Linked DNA regions of Drosophila melanogaster. The protein of the gene in region 3 interacts with the protein of the main gene of each other region in a pairwise test. Each region holds a gene or a part of one and is shown on either strand. Other genes may lie near its edges.

Region 1 (5,375 bases), about 11 Mb from region 3:
GGGAGGTACCCAAAAAGCGCAGGACCAAGTCCAAGAGTCAGCTAAAGATCATTCAAAGGGAGGACAAAGAGGATGAACAGGAGCAGGAACCGGAGCAAACAGAAGGGCGTCCCAAGTTGCGTCTACTGCCCACGGAATTCTTTGAGGCCCTACCAGCTCCCAAGCAGAACAAGCGATTAAATCTGGGAGCCACCTTGAACTCACTGCTATTTCCGGAACCCTTCTCCAGCAAGGCCACCATGGCCAAGGCTAGTCTGTCCCAAAAACCCAAGTCTGTTGAAGAGTCCGAGCCCGAGGAGGATGTGCAACCGGTGCCAAGTGCTAGAAGGCGTCACTCCAGGCTAGGTCACGTGGCCAACGACTTTTTGCAGGCCCAAAAAGAGCTTGGAAAGCATTTCCTCAGCCACATCAACGAGCATGAACACGAGTTTTCTCTAGGAGATGAGGGCATGCGGGAAAGTTCCCTGGAGTCGGCGAATGTCGGTAGGAAGTCCCTCATACAGGATCATTTTGAGGGAAAGAAGGCAACGCCTACTCTTCATTCGAAATTGCCTCAAAAGCCAGCCGATGAGGGTATCACTTCCTGGTGGGATTTACCAGCTATGAGAAGGCGGCGTGCCGTACTTAACACTAATTCCCTGGCTGAACTGCCCTCCAATGCCATAGACAAGGCAGATCGCGATGAGATGATGCCGCTGGGAAGGTACACCTACTACGAGTACAAGATGGATCACGAGGCAGAGAAGGATGCCAGCCAGCCCAGGGAGGAAAAGGAATCCAAGATCATGAGGATCAGCAGCAAGAATTCGCTGGCCTCTGGTCGTAGTCTGACTAAACTCTCCGAAAGCCTCGTGAGCACTATGAAATCAAAGGTATCTCGCTTCATCAACATCATATCCAACCATATGAACGAATGGTACAACACCTTAACCAAGCACTTGGAAACGGATGCGGAAACCCAACCACCCCGCCGACAAAACAGCATTGAGAAGTAGAATGACTTATATTACCATATGACCTTGTTTAAACTGCCAGCATTATAACCGAATGTAAATATATATTTATTTTCAAACATTACTGCATTCAAAGGAATTATATTTGAGCGATAATTCTAAGGGAATTATATTTTTCAAATAAAGCTATATACAGGACTAAGGCAACGAACTAGACGGGCTTAGACTAAGCTTGTGGTAGATTGTTGAGCATTCTTTATTGTACTTGTGAATATGTCATCTCTATAATAAAATGCATTGAATTGAAAAGAATGTTGATATATTTCAGTGGTATCTCGGTTAATGATATATGAAATGAAAAATAAAATAGATTTTTATCTGACATGTTTATACAATTACCCGTAGTACTTCAAATAGTAATAAAGTCTTGGTCATTAAAAAAGTTAATTACTATCCATTATTATTTTCTACATTATTTCAAGCTCATCATTCGAGCTGCATAACTAGAAAAGAAGCTTTGCGAAGCCCCCGACAGGTGGCTTTCTAGACACACTTTCTTGGAATCCACTACCCAGATCTTTCTCTTACCGCTGGTAACTATGTATTATAGTTTGGCTCCACTCTGTGCTCGCTCTTTCGCTGCGAGTGAACCGTTCATGAAGACGATCCCAAAGAGGAGCCCGGAAAGCCGCTTGGCTAACCTGTTACCATGGCTATAAGTGCAATAACAAAATCACCGCGACCACGGCAATACCAAACCGGTGGAGACGATCGCGCATTCTCCGCAGCCTCGGCTTTATAATCGGAATTCCGACTTCAGTCTCCGATTAGTCGTTCAAGGCGAAGGTTGTGGCACTAGCTCTTGGATCCACCAATTCCATTTCGCAGCGCAGATATAGTCCAAAGTGCAGGTCAGCAGAAGTTGGAATAAATTATAGATCAGCCAACAGCCAAAACAGGTGAGTTTGCACTAAAAAACTCGTCTCCGACTGGCAAAAGTTGAGGAACAAAACCCAAAAACGGGTCACTTCTAGACTTTTTCATACATCTATAGATCTTGTTTCTTTTCGAGACTGCATTGTAGGGCGTGGTTCGGTTGGGGGGGTTCTTAAATGGTGCATGCAAGCGTAACCAGAGCCAGTCTTCGAGTCTTGAGGAAAGCTCTTGGAAATCTTTGTGACGTGGACGGTGGGGGAAAAAAAAAACAAACAGAGAAGAAAAAACCAGAAACTCAAAACGACATGAAACTTCAGACTTTCTTTCTTGTTCAACCTTCTTTCGTTTGGGCTGTCAATGAACTTGGTTGAATGTTATTTTTTTCGGCGTTTCATCATAATAAGCCATAATTACGCACATGTGTGAAAGTGAAAGTGTAAGTTTTCTCAACAGTTTTCGAAATTGATTTATTGACAGTCACTGATAAACGATTTGAATTGTGAAAACCTTCGCCGACTAACCAATATCCCCAAAACCATGAAACCCCAAAACCCAAAACCAAACTCGTTTCGTTATGCCCTAAGACAATCGTCTGGCTTTGGCAGCTTCGGTTATTATATAATCTGATTTGCATGTTGACACCGATATATACGTATATGAAGATACAATATATAGTATACACACCTCGGCATATTTGTAGGATGGGTTTCATCTTCGGTTGGCTGTCGACCGAGCACTATGTGCGCGACATCTTCCTCATGACTTCAGTGGCCGCCATAGTGGCCACCCTGATGAGCATTCGGTTCTATCTGCGCATCACGGCGGGACGATGTTTCACCGAGGTAACGAACGCACCTCACCCAATCCAAAAAACCAAGTCCCATGCTCCCCAGAATCGCGACACGACTCGAATATTTCGCACTTTATATGGCTGTTGCTCCCACTTCCGCTGCGAATTCTTTTCAGATCTTGTAGATGAGCTGTCATATACATACAAATGATGGTGGGATAGTTTACTAAAACAGTATTCGGACACGACCTTAAGCTTATTAATCGCTCAAAACTTTTACAAATTTTATATATTCATATAAATGCGAACTATTCAGATAAACATTACAGATCCATAATTGAAAATGGTTCAGCTTACCGCTCTATAGAAAACTACATATATCACTATCTGGAAAAACCCCATATAATTAAAACGATTCTGTAGCATTCCAAGCATTCCGACTATGGAAATCTTTTAACTATATATGAAATCACCACTAGGAAAACTTAACGTGTTTCAATCTTGTTATTACATTGGTCAGTTGTGACGCGTCGACTTAATTACAGATTAAATTAGATACCTTCTGAGAGGCGAGGTACGTCACATCTCTGAGCTACGATTACCACCTGACCGAACATTGTTCGTATCCCACAAAACATCTAAGCTTCTGGGTATCTCGGTTACAATCTGTGAGATCGCTTACCTCTGATTCACAGAAAGCTCTCAGCACTCGAATGGCAATTAAGCGACCCGTTAATGGGTCTGAAAACTAAGATAGCTTCCGTTCCAGACGAACTGCGATTACTGTGACTGTGAACAAGCGCCAACTAATTAGTATTGTAAACATATTTTCGAACCGCCCTCGTCCAATTTTCGATTGCAGCGCCGTATTAAATGATTAACCTTCGACATTGATTACAGACAAAGATGGAGGGCAAGACAGTCATTATCACAGGCGCCAACAGCGGAATTGGCAAGGAGACGGCCAAGGATCTGGCTGGACGTGGAGCCCGCATCATCATGGCCTGCAGGAACCTGGAGACTGCCAATGCAGTGAAGGGTAAGTGGACCAAGACAATGCCTATGAGGTTATGCCAAGGATCTGGCAGGACATGCAACACGGTCAAATTCCGATAACTGGTCTCATCCAGTTGATTATAGACTCTGGCAAAAACTGCTTACTACCAATGATCTTTTTTTATTAAATATTTACGTTGTAATTACTTTAAAGAAAGTATCTTATAATATGTTGGCGTTGCATTAACCATGTTTTTTTTTACATAACCGAATTTTGTAATTTATTGTTGATTTCCCACAGATGAGATCGTCAAGGAGACGAAGAACAACAAGATCCTAGTCAAGAAACTGGATCTGGGCTCCCAGAAGTCCGTCCGTGAGTTCGCCGCTGACATTGTGAAGACCGAGCCCAAGATCGATGTGCTTATCCACAATGCCGGCATGGCTCTGGCCTTCCGCGGACAGACGAGTGAGGATGGCGTGGAGCTGACCATGGCCACCAATCACTATGGACCCTTCCTGCTGACGCATCTGCTCATCGATGTACTAAAGAAGAGCGCGCCGGCTCGCATAGTCATCGTAGCCTCGGAGCTGTACCGCCTGTCGTCGGTTAACCTGGCCAAGCTCAATCCCATCGGCACTTTCCCGGCTGCCTACTTATACTATGTGTCCAAGTTTGCGAACATCTACTTTGCCCGGGAGCTGGCCAAGCGGCTGGAGGGCACCAAGGTTACAGTGAATTTCCTGCATCCCGGCATGATCGACTCGGGCATTTGGCGTAACGTTCCCTTCCCCCTCAACTTGCCCATGATGGCCATCACCAAGGGATTCTTCAAGACCACCAAGGCCGGCGCCCAGACCACTATCTATTTGGCCACATCCAATGAGGTGGCCAATGTGTCTGGAAAGTACTTCATGGACTGCAAGGAGGCCACCCTTAATGCTGCTGCCCTCGATGAGGAGAAGGGTCTCAAGATCTGGGAGGAGTCCGTGAAGATTGTCAAGCTTACGCCCCAGGATCCCAAAATCTAGACGGGTGTCTGCGGCTGAGAGCCAACGCACAATTTACTGATTTACTTTTCTTGTTTTTAAGGGGGAGTTTACTGTAGCCTAAGTTTTCTCAATAAAAATGATTTTGTATAATTAAATGTGGCTCGTTTTCAATATGATATATTTGCTGTCAGAAAAAAAAGCACATCAAATTTCTGACTATATATAATATATTACAAAGATCTTGGTTGTTATATCGGTTGCTCGTGAGTAAAAGGGTATACTAGAATCAAGACTAGAATATAGTCTGGATCAAGATCAATAGCCGAGTCGATCTGGCCATGTTCCTCTGTCCGTCTGAATGTCGAGATCTCAGGAACTTTAAAAGCTAGAAGGTTGTGATGCAGCATACAGATTCTAGATACATAGACACAGCGCATTCACACTAACTGAGCAACGGGTATCTGTTAGTCGGGGAACTCGACTTCTTATTGGCACAGGATTTCGGCTTGGATTTGCAAGGGGACCGTTTTTGTATTACATGTAATATATATTGACAGTCACTCGATAAATCTTTTGCTAGGTAACTAGATATGACAATTCTGACAAGTTTTGAACTTTTCAACTTATTGCTTCTCGTTATTTATTTTGTAGCTGCAGCTTCTTAGTCAAATGATCTTTAAAAAAGTTCTTCTAGGTATTGAGATATG
Region 2 (7,206 bases), on a different chromosome or scaffold from region 3:
AGCGATGCGCCCTGGAGCTCACTGGCACCCGACCCCAAGAGCGATGTGGATGCCCTGCTCAAATGAGCCATTGCCATGCATTAATTTGTTATTAATTCTCTAGTGTAAATACTCGCCAAGATTTAGATGTCGAACCGCAATTAACGATTTTTTGATAGCTCCTTTTTCTTCTCGATGTTTTCGTATAGATTGTTGTGATAATGTGAACTTTTAAGCGCCATTTTGACCGGAAGCGGAACTCCGCCGCTCCAATTGTATTTGATTTTCATATCAATAGAGCATAGTAGCACTTTGGAACTAGTTAAGTTAGTTAGGTTGAACGCCTTGTAAATACGCCACGCACTGGACACCAAAAGATCGCATTGCAGCCAAATATCGTGGAGGTAATCGAGAGTTAACTGTACATAAGGTTAGCTAGATGAAATTCCTTAACTAAGTCATAAGCTAGGGCACCACCAGATAGCAATTGAATCAGTTGTATGTATTCACAAGTTTCTTCGATTTTTTGATTCACATATCAAGTTATCCAAAATAAATGAGCAATTCTACGTGTACTAAGTGGTCGTTCAAAGATTCATTCTGCTCCTCTGGCGAGGTTGAACACACCCCTAGGCGGAACTTTGGGGCCGGAATTCCAGGTATTTTATGGTTTTAGTAGGTTAGACTTAAGGAGACTTAAAGCCAAGGCTATTTGTACTGCCGTTCGCTGCTGGCGGGCAGCCTAGATGCACAGATCCTCGTCCGGATCCTCCTCGTCGAAATCGTCGTCGGCATCGGGCGTGTATATTATGTTTCCCTCAGACGGCTCGGATGTGCTATCATATATACGAACATATCAATAAGGAGATGTAACGCATAGAGAATGGTTACCACTCACCGTTCGTATGGCAGGGTGAGTGCATTGCGGGCCAACACTTCATCCTCGTCAAGCTCGATTTTGAAGGTGCTGCTGGCCGGCTCTGTGGTCTGCTCCGCCTCGGGCGAGGGCTGCTTGGGGGAGGCACCTGCAGGCAGTCCTCCGTCCAGCGGCGTCACCTTGAACTGGGTTTTGCTGACTTCGCAGGAGTAGCGCCTGTTGGACACCCCTCCGCCCGGCTTGCGTGATATCAGCGAGAGTAGTTTGTCCGATTCCAGTCGGAGGACCAGCTCGGCCAGGTACTCGCAGCCAGCCAGGATGTAGTCGGCATGCGGATCCTGCAGGTGCTGCGGGGAGGCCCAAAGGAAAACCCGACGCACATTGTCCGAGCGGCGTAGGCGGTTGAGGAAGCCAAATATGAAAGCAGGCGTCTGGTAGCACAGCAGGTCTGCCAATGTTGGCAGGATGACGTTAAAGCCAGTGGAGTTGGAATCCGTAGTACTCCCAGTGTTGTTGTTGGCGTACTTGTCGATCAGTGCCTCGAAGGTGGCCACGTGCTTAAGGCTGACGCCGGTGGGCAGGGCCTTGATGGTATCCGCCCCCTGTCCCTGCTCGTGCAGCAGACTGCCGATGAACTTGGGGGCAATGCGCTCCCGATTTAGCTCATCTGTGGATGAGGCGGGAGATTGGTGGTCGCATTATTTGGCAGACGATGGGGTAGTCAGTGTGTACTCACCTATTACGAGGACCACTTTCTGCTTGGTCACCACCAGGTTGGAGAGCATTTTGTTAGCATTTATTGTGGGACTACCTAAATATTATTTTAAATTGAAGCTTTTTGTTGGAGCTGCCAGTGCTGCCGAGCTAAAGGCGTTAGCGTGTTTCAGTCGTGCTCAATGGGCCACACTGGCGGCATAAGGGAATCCAGGGTCTCGAAGTAAATGTTTTCCAAGCTCTAGTTAAATATGAATATAAAGTTTGTAAATTTTTAAAATTAAAACTCACACAGTCAGTACTTTCTATCATCATGTGAACGTATATTAAATGCACACTATTTTTTCAGCACACGCAGCTACAGTATGATTCTCGCATCCCTGGTTGTCCCGCTTTTTTCCAAATGAGTAAACAGAAAATCGAAGCGGTTAACAGATCGAGTTACAGTTTAAAACCCTTTGATAGTGAAAGTTTGACCGTGTCCTTGACTTGCTGTACTAAATTAAGTATCAATGAATGTGCCGCTTTAAGTTTAACTTGTTAATAATAATGCTGACGTAGTAAATTCGCACAGCATTCCGCTCTCTTATGCTGCCAAATTATCTCTTTGTGTTTGTGCCGTTTCTGTTTGTGTTCTTGCCTCTTCCGTTGAAGACATTTTGGAAATATTCCAAACAAAACACATTATTGGATTACTGATTCATTTCAAATCTGTAAGTTTACCTGTTTCTATTTCAACTACGTCTTTAAATGTAGTTTACAAACAGTTATAATTTGGTTGTGGCTTTCCATTAATATAATATCCAACAAGTGGTTTTTCTACAGTGGTGTGAGCCCGAAAGTTTGTTTGCATGTGTGCTTCGGCGTTTACAGTTCTGAGCTTCCAACGAAAAGCTCGTGGAAATGCCAAATGAAATGGCCAAGTGCGGCAGAGTGGGCGGGGCTTTAGGGCTTTCACGCCCACGCAGCCTGTGCAGAATTTCCACGGCTTTTCCTCCATATGGAAGGCCCAGCTTCCTGCATTTTAAGCAGTTTGTTCAACAAGTAGAGTAAAGTGCGTGGCAGTAGCCACGAAAATCAGAAGTAATCGCGAAAAACCCATCGTCATCGCTTTAAAGTCACTAATTGCTGCTAAAGATAAGAGCAGGCGGTATTGAAACAGGCATTATCTGAGCAGAGTGAAGCATCAATCAAGTATACGCCATGTTGTTCTCACTGGGTGAGTTGAAGTGCACATACAGTCATTATTGCACAGCATGAACTTAAGCTCTTTAAGAGGGAAAGCTACTTGTTGTCCTTAAAGGTTTCACTTTACTGTAGATGTACTTTCGAAACTAAGAACAATATTGAAATAGTTGTTACTAACAAATTTTACCCAAAAACTTTTTGTAAACCCTTTTACGTTTTGGATTCCACTCCTTCTGGCAAAAAGTAGTTCCAATTGAAGCAGTTCCACTGCACCATCCCATTACTATGCACAGAACATCAAAGTCAAAGTCGCAATTGAAATGCCGCGCAGTGACAATGGTTTGAATAGATCCGAGGAATGCGAAATGCAAATAATCATCAATGCACCCCCTTCCCAACCAGAAGCGATCGACCTGGTCCGGCATACTAACCAGCATTCGTTGGCACCCAAAGCCAAAGGCAAAGTCAAAAGCAAACCCAACCCCACTGGAATCCTATCCGCATCGAGAACCAAACAATTATCCACACCGAAATGAGCAATATGTGTGTGCGATGTCGCATGCGAGAGATTTGCGAGCGGAAAAAGCTTTTCCTAACCATCGCCGGGCGGCGGCTGGAAAACTTTAAATTCAGTTGCGCATTGCACGCCGAAGTGTTCGGTTGTATTAACGGGGTGTCGTGCGGATTAGTTACTAGTAGTTAGTTACTAGCATTTACCAGTGTTTTTGTGCTGTGTCTTAGGGCAATTAACACCGTCCATTATACGTTGCATGTCTTTTTGTGGTTGAACCATTGGTGAATTATTGATTTAAAGTGCACAGACCATGTCGAAGGACGCGGACGTGGAGCAGGCGACCAAGCCGGAGAGCGGAGTTGTCCAGGTGGAGCCAGCGATTCCGGAGCAGCCACAGGCCGCCGTTCCGACCACCATCTCCACGGCGACCACAGTGATCGCGGTGACTAATGGGGAAAAGCCAGCGGCAGCGACACCAGCAACAACTGCAACACCTGCGACAGCAGAACAAGTGCAACCTGCAACAACCATCGCTGGCATTGAGTTGGCCACTCCAACGGCGGCGGCAACTTCACCACCAACAGGTAGACTGTGCATGGCATTGGATTTTGGCTGCAAGTTTGATTAGTGCCAAGTAAAATAAACCAACAAGCCGAGTGTTTAGTTATAGTAAAAGTTAAAGCAAAACGCACCGAAAGACAGACTGCAGCCGTCCCCTTTCCCCGCCGCGGTTTTCACCATCACCATCGGCATCACGATCCGCGATCAGCAAGCAGCCACTAGTAACCAGTAACCAGTAACCAGCTGAATTTCACTTTGGTTTTCCAGACTTTATTTATTTTGCTCCGCTGTCTTCGGACTTGTACGCTTTTCCAAATTCATCCAAAGTCATCTGCCCGGGTTTTACTTTCGGTCTTTTGGTGCGCCTATGTGGATTGTTTATTTCAAATTTTGCGCACGATCTGCTGCAACGCTTTGCTGGTCAGCGTCTTTGGCACGCCCACTTAACCCTAATAATTAACAGTCATAGTCACAGCTAATGTGCCAATTAATTTCACTCGGAACCCAGAGCTGCGTCGAAATGGAGCACTCCAACTGGAGCCCATTGAGTAACCGGGGACGCGTGGCTGCTGCCAGTTACCAGCATTTATAATTGCGATTGCCAGCTACAAGTGTCTCCGGCGCACTTATCAGCCAATTTACAAGCCAACACTTGGCAGTTTGGCTCATTTGCTTATTATTCGCCCGAGTCGAAATTAAAACACCATTTGCATACCAAACGCCAATTAGGGCGGCTGATAGCGGCCCTTATCGAGTGCATCTGCACCTACAAGTTTACTAGCCTTTTAAACTATCTTAGTCAAGTCCAATCTATACTATACCAAACTATGAACACGGCTACTTTCACTACCCGTACGTTCCGTAAAATGAATCGAACTTTAATTTATTTAATGTATCATGCTGCAACATCAAGCACGAGGAACTTGTACGATGCTATTTAAAGCGATTTAATATCAGATGTTCGGACTATCTGGAGAACATACTGATAAGGCGACAGATAAAGTGGGCAGAACGCTCTGGCGTTGAAAATTAATGTTGGGTAAACAAGCGCAAATGTTTACGCATGAATTAGCCAAATTACGCCTGGTGAGTGGCCGGCGAAAGGGGTCGTGGGTGTGTCCCAGTGCCTGGGAACAGGCCGTTCCCATTAACTCAGGGCCCAGTCGATATGATGAGATCTTGTTTATCGCAGTATCGGATGGCTGGCGGCAAAGGAACTGTTTGTTTACCCAACGAGTGCAGCTGCCATCGAAGCGGATCAGATGTACAACTGTTAAAGTGGGTTTTTGGGAAGCCTATTGGCTCCCTAAACTTCTGGTCGCATGTTATCAGCAAGTGCTTGGGGGTTATTTTAATCTGCGGGCAGGTGGAACATGTAATTGAATCATGTTTACGTAGCAGAGGCTATAAACCAAAAGTATGGAAAATATAAACGAGTGCTTGAGATCCCCTTCCCCTTTCGATGCCCCGATATCTCTACCCTTGAATGAGTTATGCGATTAGATCGCCAATGCGTGCTGTGCGTAAAATGGCCTCTATTTTTAGCTCATCCCCAGCTTTTATTGGATTTTTCAGGCAGCGGCAAGGCCAACATGGATCCAGCGCTGATCAACTTTAAGGTGCTCTATGTGCTCACCCAGCTGTGCGGCCTGACCATGATCGTCCTGGTGGCCACCTGGATTGGCCAGCACTTCGGCGGTCTGGCCGGCACCTCAAATCCCGGCGTGGAGTTCAACTGGCATCCGCTGTTCATGACCATTGGCTTCATTTACCTGTATGGCAACTGTGAGTAAATGCAGCGGAAGAGGTGCCACGCCACTCCCATTGACTAGCTTCGAAATGGTAATCCAACTCAATTCAATCCCACAGCCATTCTGATCTATCGTGGTTTCCGCACCACGCGCAAGAAGACTCTGAAGCTTACCCACGCCGGCATCCACATGGGTGCATTCATTCTGACGGTGATTGCCCTGAAGACGGTCTTCGATTCCCACAACTTGGCCAATCCGCCCATTCCCAACATGTACTCCCTGCACTCTTGGCTGGGGCTCTCCGCGGTGATCGTCTTCTCGCTGCAGTATGTGGCCGGATTTGTGGCCTTTTTGGCGCCGGGGTTGAGGGAGAACTACAGGATCGCCATGATGCCGCTGCACATCTACTTCGGACTCTTTGGATTCGTTCTGGCTATTGCTAGTGCCCTGATGGGCATAACCGAGAAGGCCATCTTCGCCATGTAGGTGTATATGCATTCTAGATCGATCACTTGACTAATCCATGACGACATTTCTAGCAAAACTCCGGCTTACTCCACTCTTCCACCGGCTGGTGTGTTGGCCAATGTGATTGGAGTAATGTACGTGGTCTTCGGGGCGCTGGTTGTCTACCTAGCCACTGAGCCCTCCTACAAGCGGAAGCCCATTCCCGAGGACACGGCTCTGCTGAACTCCAGTTCTGTCAACGAGTAAGGGCTATGCCCATGCCCCAAATCAACTGCAATGCTTACTTAAGCTAAAAACTGTGCACAAAACCAAACGAAACCGAACCTGATCACACGGATGGTGCTTTCTTAGTGATGGAGATGGAGATTCGTCAAGATGAGTGTATTATCTGTAGCATGTACATAACCTAACGACTATGTATGACTCTGAATTATGAACATACGTATACTTTGGTCACCAGTTGTGCAATGATTTCAGCGAGTGCTCAAATCATAACGTATTTAACCTCAAGAAAAACATTTGCTTTGAACTGTACGAATACATCTATATATGTGTGTTATATATGCTTAAATAAATATATATATATATATATATCTATTAAAATAAATTTAAATTAATGAAGGTTCCCGGCCAGAAAGATGCCTCCCTTTTGGCGCTCATGTATCGAGACCTCCAGTTCATCGCCTTCAGATACATTTTCCTCGAGCTCTCCTTCAGCCTCCTCTTCATCCGAAGTGGAAGACTTTGGGGGCACGAAGCTCGGGGTGAATGACAGTGAAAGAGTGTCGATGACCCAGCTTTTTGAGTCCTTCATACTCATGCTCACTTGGTCGTGATCTTGGAATGTGAGATCCGGGTCTACGACCACCAGGTAGGTGGGCACCTTGCCCACTCCCTTTACCTCCGTGTGCCCTCGGTAGTTGCAGCGGATGTTAAATTGTCGCAGCACCTTTGCCGTGTGCCGAGTTACTTGGATGTTGTCCAGCAATCCAGTGGAGGACATCCGGGAGGCCATATTGACGGTATGACCCCAGATATCATAGTGTGGTTTCGAGAGTCCAACAACGCCGGCCATCACGGATCCATGGGAGATGCCTTAGATATCATTGGATGGATTAGGATAACGGTGAAGGTAATGCAGCCCACCTATCTTC
Region 3 (3,830 bases):
TACCAGCCATCGGCAGCTGGGTTCTCACGTTCCCACACTTACCTGTAACCGAAGCACACACAAATGCACCACTCACCTGGTTCTTGGGATGCGCACATAAACAAATCCAGAAAATAAAACGCATTCGGAGAGCTACCTGCATGGCAGTGGAAAATTTTCAGGTGCAGCTCCAACCAGACATAACAAAACTGTAGGCTTTCTTCAGAAAAAGAAATTGAATAAGAATATTGTTTTTAAGTCCCAGAAATCCATTTTCAATTTAGAAGTCTGTTTTTGTAACTTGAAACATTGAGTAAATAAATTCCTTATAGAGCACATACTTATATATGCCTTCAATAAAATGCCGAAAATAAATGTAATTGCAAGTATTTTTAATTTTCTGCACAGCGACTGTATTTTTTGCAGTGCACCCAAATATGCTGCGTTTGCTAAACGTGGGTATTAATCTGTTTTCAGCAACAACAAAAATAAGCGCGCCAATTTGCCAAAGATTAAAGGGGAGCTGTCTTATCAGCGACTGAGCCCATGGAGGTTATTAGAAGGCATCCATCCAGATTCCAGATTCTTTGTTGTCCACTTGTGCCCCCAAGCATAAAAGCCCATCACAAAAGAATCAGATGCCCAGCTTGGAGTTGAGCATAAAAATAAACTGGGGATCTACAAGCATAATCGCGCCTTGGAGACCCCTCAGGTACCAAGTCCATTCCCGAACTCAAATCGGATCCCTCGCTCTCGTATAAATAGGGGCTGCCTGGCCCTATTTCAAAACAGTCTTCGCTCGATCGCTGGAGGAATACATACATAGGTGGAAAGAAAGTGAAAATGAAGGTTTTCGTTGCCATCTGCGTGCTGATTGGACTGGTGAGTGCTCGATACAGATAAACGGCGACCAGGACCAGAATAATTCAACGCCTTCCCTTGGGTTATAGGCCTCCGCCGACTATGTGGTGAAGAACCGACACGACATGCTGGCCTACCGCGATGAGTGCGTCAAGGAGCTGGCCGTGCCCGTGGATCTGGTGGAGAAGTACCAGAAGTGGGAGTACCCCAACGACGCCAAGACCCAGTGCTACATCAAGTGCGTCTTCACCAAGTGGGGCCTGTTCGACGTCCAGAGCGGTTTCAACGTGGAGAACATCCACCAACAGCTGGTGGGCAACCACGCTGACCACAACGAGGCCTTCCACGCCTCCTTGGCCGCCTGCGTGGACAAGAACGAGCAGGGATCCAATGCCTGCGAGTGGGCCTACCGCGGAGCCACCTGTCTGCTGAAGGAGAACCTGGCCCAGATCCAGAAGAGCCTGGCCCCGAAGGCCTAGTGGCTTAGGTCCTAGTTGGACGGATGTAACGATAAGCATTAGTTTAGTTAATAAAGTAATTGATTTCCCATACAAGTTCGAGCATTCCTTCTCGATTCAGTGGGGAAAAACAGAATGTAGATATTTCTTCTTCAATGGGGGCCTCAATTTACTTATTAACAACTCCGAGTAGCAATTACATTGAGGATATGCTTTTAGGCAGCCAAACTAAACTAAAACTTTGGCCAACTACTTCCATTCGTCATGTTGCTGTACACCAAGGAACTTGTGATTCCGCGGCCGAGACCAGGACTACTGCGCTTCAGGAACAATCCGCGTGGTATTAAGTTTCGGGAAAAACTGTGCAACTCCTTTGCCCACTCCAACATCCATGGGATGCAGCACGTCTTCGGGGAGCAGCATCTCTGGCAGCGCTGCCTGTGGCTCGCCATCGTCCTGGGAGCGGTGATCACAGGATTCAGTCTGTACACCGTGCTGATGCATCGCCACAGCGAGCAGCTCCTGGTCAGCCTGATAGAGACCACCCAGTTGCCAGTGTACCACATCGACTTTCCAGCTGTGGCCGTTTGCCCCTGGAATCATTTCAACTGGCAGAGGGCTCCGTCGGCATTTATCCGCTTTCTGCCACGTCATCCGAATGCCGAGCTCCGGGAAACATTTCGCCAGCTACTCGCCAGTATGGACATTATGAACTTCTCCAACTTTAACCGGATACGGATTCTGACCAAACGAAATCTGACGGGAATTAGTTATCTAAAAATGACGGACCTGATGAACTTCATGACCTATAGATGCGATGAACTCTTCGTCGCCGATTCCTGCGTCTTCGATGAGACTCCCTACGACTGCTGCAAACTTTTCGTACGGGAGCAGACGGTGAAGGGCCAGTGCTTGGTCTTCAACTCCATGATTTCGGAGAACTCGCGCAAAAAGCACCTGATTAACCAGTTCTATCCCCACAAGCTGAGCACCGCTGGCGAGGATTCGGGCCTGAAGTTCACGATCAATGCAAGCTACTCCTTTATGAACAACATAGACGCTCTGACTCCATTTGGAATGAATGTAAGTCCCTTAGTTGCGTCACAGTTTGCTCATATTTTGTTTAATTTTATTTTTTGGTTACTAAGCTCATGATTAAGGAACCACGCCAGTGGTCCAATGAAATGATGTACCACCTGTACCCGGATACGGAGAACTTTGTTGCTGTGCATCCGCTGGTCACGGAAACCTCTCCAAATACCTATGAAATGAGTCCCAAAAAAAGACGTTGCTACTTTGATGTGTGTATAGCTTGCAACTAATAGGAAAAGATAATCATAATAATAATTCCTTACTCCATAGGATGAAAAGAACCCTACCTTCCAGAACACTTCGTTGACTTATAACCGCGAAAACTGCCTGGTGGTGTGCCTCCACTTAGTTGTGTGGAAGACCTGCCAGTGCTCGCTGCCAGCTTTTCTGCCTCCCATTGGTAATTATCGTAATTATTCTATTACATTTTAAATTTTTTTTTTTTTTAGATGGAGTTCCGGAATGTGGAATCAACGATGCACAATGCTTGGGCAACAATTCCGATATATTCACTTACGTGAAGATGGGTGATCAGGAGAAATACATTAACGACTCACGACAGGGTCACTTTTGTGATTGCCCAGACAATTGCAATTCACGGCTGTACGAAATGTCACTTAATGTGCGCAAATTGGATTAGTAAGTTCAATGTATATATTCTTAAAGAACAGATAATTAAATTCCCCTCTCTTTTAGCCCAAAAAACTCGACAGATCAATTGATAAAAGCCCAGGTTTATTATGGCCAACGTGTCATGACCAAAATCATTACGAAACTCAAGTACACCAATATAGATTTACTGGCCAACTTTGGCGGGATCATAAGTCTGTATATAGGGGCCTCCGTCATGAGTTTTATAGAGCTTTTATTTGTGCTGGGAAAACTGATGTGGGGTTTCATCAGAGATGCGCGCATAAAATTGAAAGAGTATACTAAGTAGCTTACTTTAAAAAATGATGTAAAACTTTGCCGTAAACAAGTATATATAACATTATTTCTGTTTAGTTTCCTGGTCCGTGGGATAGCGTATATAGATAGCCGGATGTGGCACTGTAGCCGGCGTCTCTGGCAGTTGGTCCAAGTAGGAGCAGCCGATGGCCAGGGCGCTGCCATCGGAGCTGAAGTTGAGCGTGGATATGGAGGTATCGTATTCGTGGAACTGACAAAGGCGCTTCTTGTTGAAGCCATCCCAAATGTTCACAATGCCATCGGATCCGCCAGTGGCGAACGTCTGATAGACATTGTGGAAACTCAAGGCATTAACGGGGTAGATCTGTTCGATATTCTGCTCCCTATTCCGGTGGCACTTGAAAGCGAACTTGCGGCGCTGCACCTCAGGATCGTGATCCAGGTACTCCACTGCCACCCGTCCCTCGATGGAGGACATCACGTAGCCTTCTTTGTTGGGGAATAGACGAATGCAGCGGGTCTGGTACTTGA

The links.
Region 1: the proteins of ppk19 (region 3) and CG7675 interact in a two-hybrid assay, tested with the Drosophila melanogaster proteins (one large-scale study listed by BioGRID).
Region 2: the proteins of ppk19 (region 3) and CG1275 interact in a two-hybrid assay, tested with the Drosophila melanogaster proteins (one large-scale study listed by BioGRID).

What each region holds. Positions count from the first base shown.
Region 1 is NT_033777.3:18,377,569-18,382,943, reverse strand, and holds CG7675 (uncharacterized protein), read left to right. Parts: upstream 1-1,765; 5' UTR 1,766-1,912; intron 1,913-2,207; exon of another isoform or gene 2,208-2,325; intron 2,326-2,589; 5' UTR 2,590-2,590; coding exon 2,591-2,731; intron 2,732-3,579; coding exon 3,580-3,718; intron 3,719-3,976; coding exon 3,977-4,707; 3' UTR 4,708-4,820; downstream 4,821-5,375. Other genes in the region: CG14309 (uncharacterized protein), read left to right, coding at 1-995.
Region 2 is NT_037436.4:2,252,189-2,259,394, reverse strand, and holds CG1275 (uncharacterized protein), read left to right. Parts: upstream 1-1,971; 5' UTR 1,972-2,283; intron 2,284-2,582; exon of another isoform or gene 2,583-2,773; coding exon of another isoform or gene 2,774-2,789; intron 2,790-3,384; exon of another isoform or gene 3,385-3,572; 5' UTR 3,573-3,582; coding exon 3,583-3,856; intron 3,857-5,408; coding exon 5,409-5,618; intron 5,619-5,702; coding exon 5,703-6,066; intron 6,067-6,123; coding exon 6,124-6,298; 3' UTR 6,299-6,651; downstream 6,652-7,206. Other genes in the region: oxt (peptide O-xylosyltransferase), read left to right, coding at 1-66; Elp5 (elongator complex protein 5), read right to left, coding at 722-815, 878-1,523, 1,593-1,641; CG32305 (uncharacterized protein), read right to left, coding at 6,666-7,147, 7,199-7,206.
Region 3 is NT_033777.3:29,670,894-29,674,723, forward strand, and holds ppk19 (pickpocket 19), read left to right. Parts: upstream 1-1,562; coding exon 1,563-2,381; intron 2,382-2,446; coding exon 2,447-2,599; intron 2,600-2,660; coding exon 2,661-2,790; intron 2,791-2,839; coding exon 2,840-3,029; intron 3,030-3,086; coding exon 3,087-3,330; downstream 3,331-3,830. Other genes in the region: Obp99a (Odorant-binding protein 99a), read left to right, coding at 823-861, 930-1,319; Bub3, read right to left, coding at 3,382-3,830. UniProt on the Drosophila melanogaster protein: Part of a complex that plays a role in tracheal liquid clearance. In both larvae and adults, contributes to the behavioral response to salt. Probable role in sodium transport.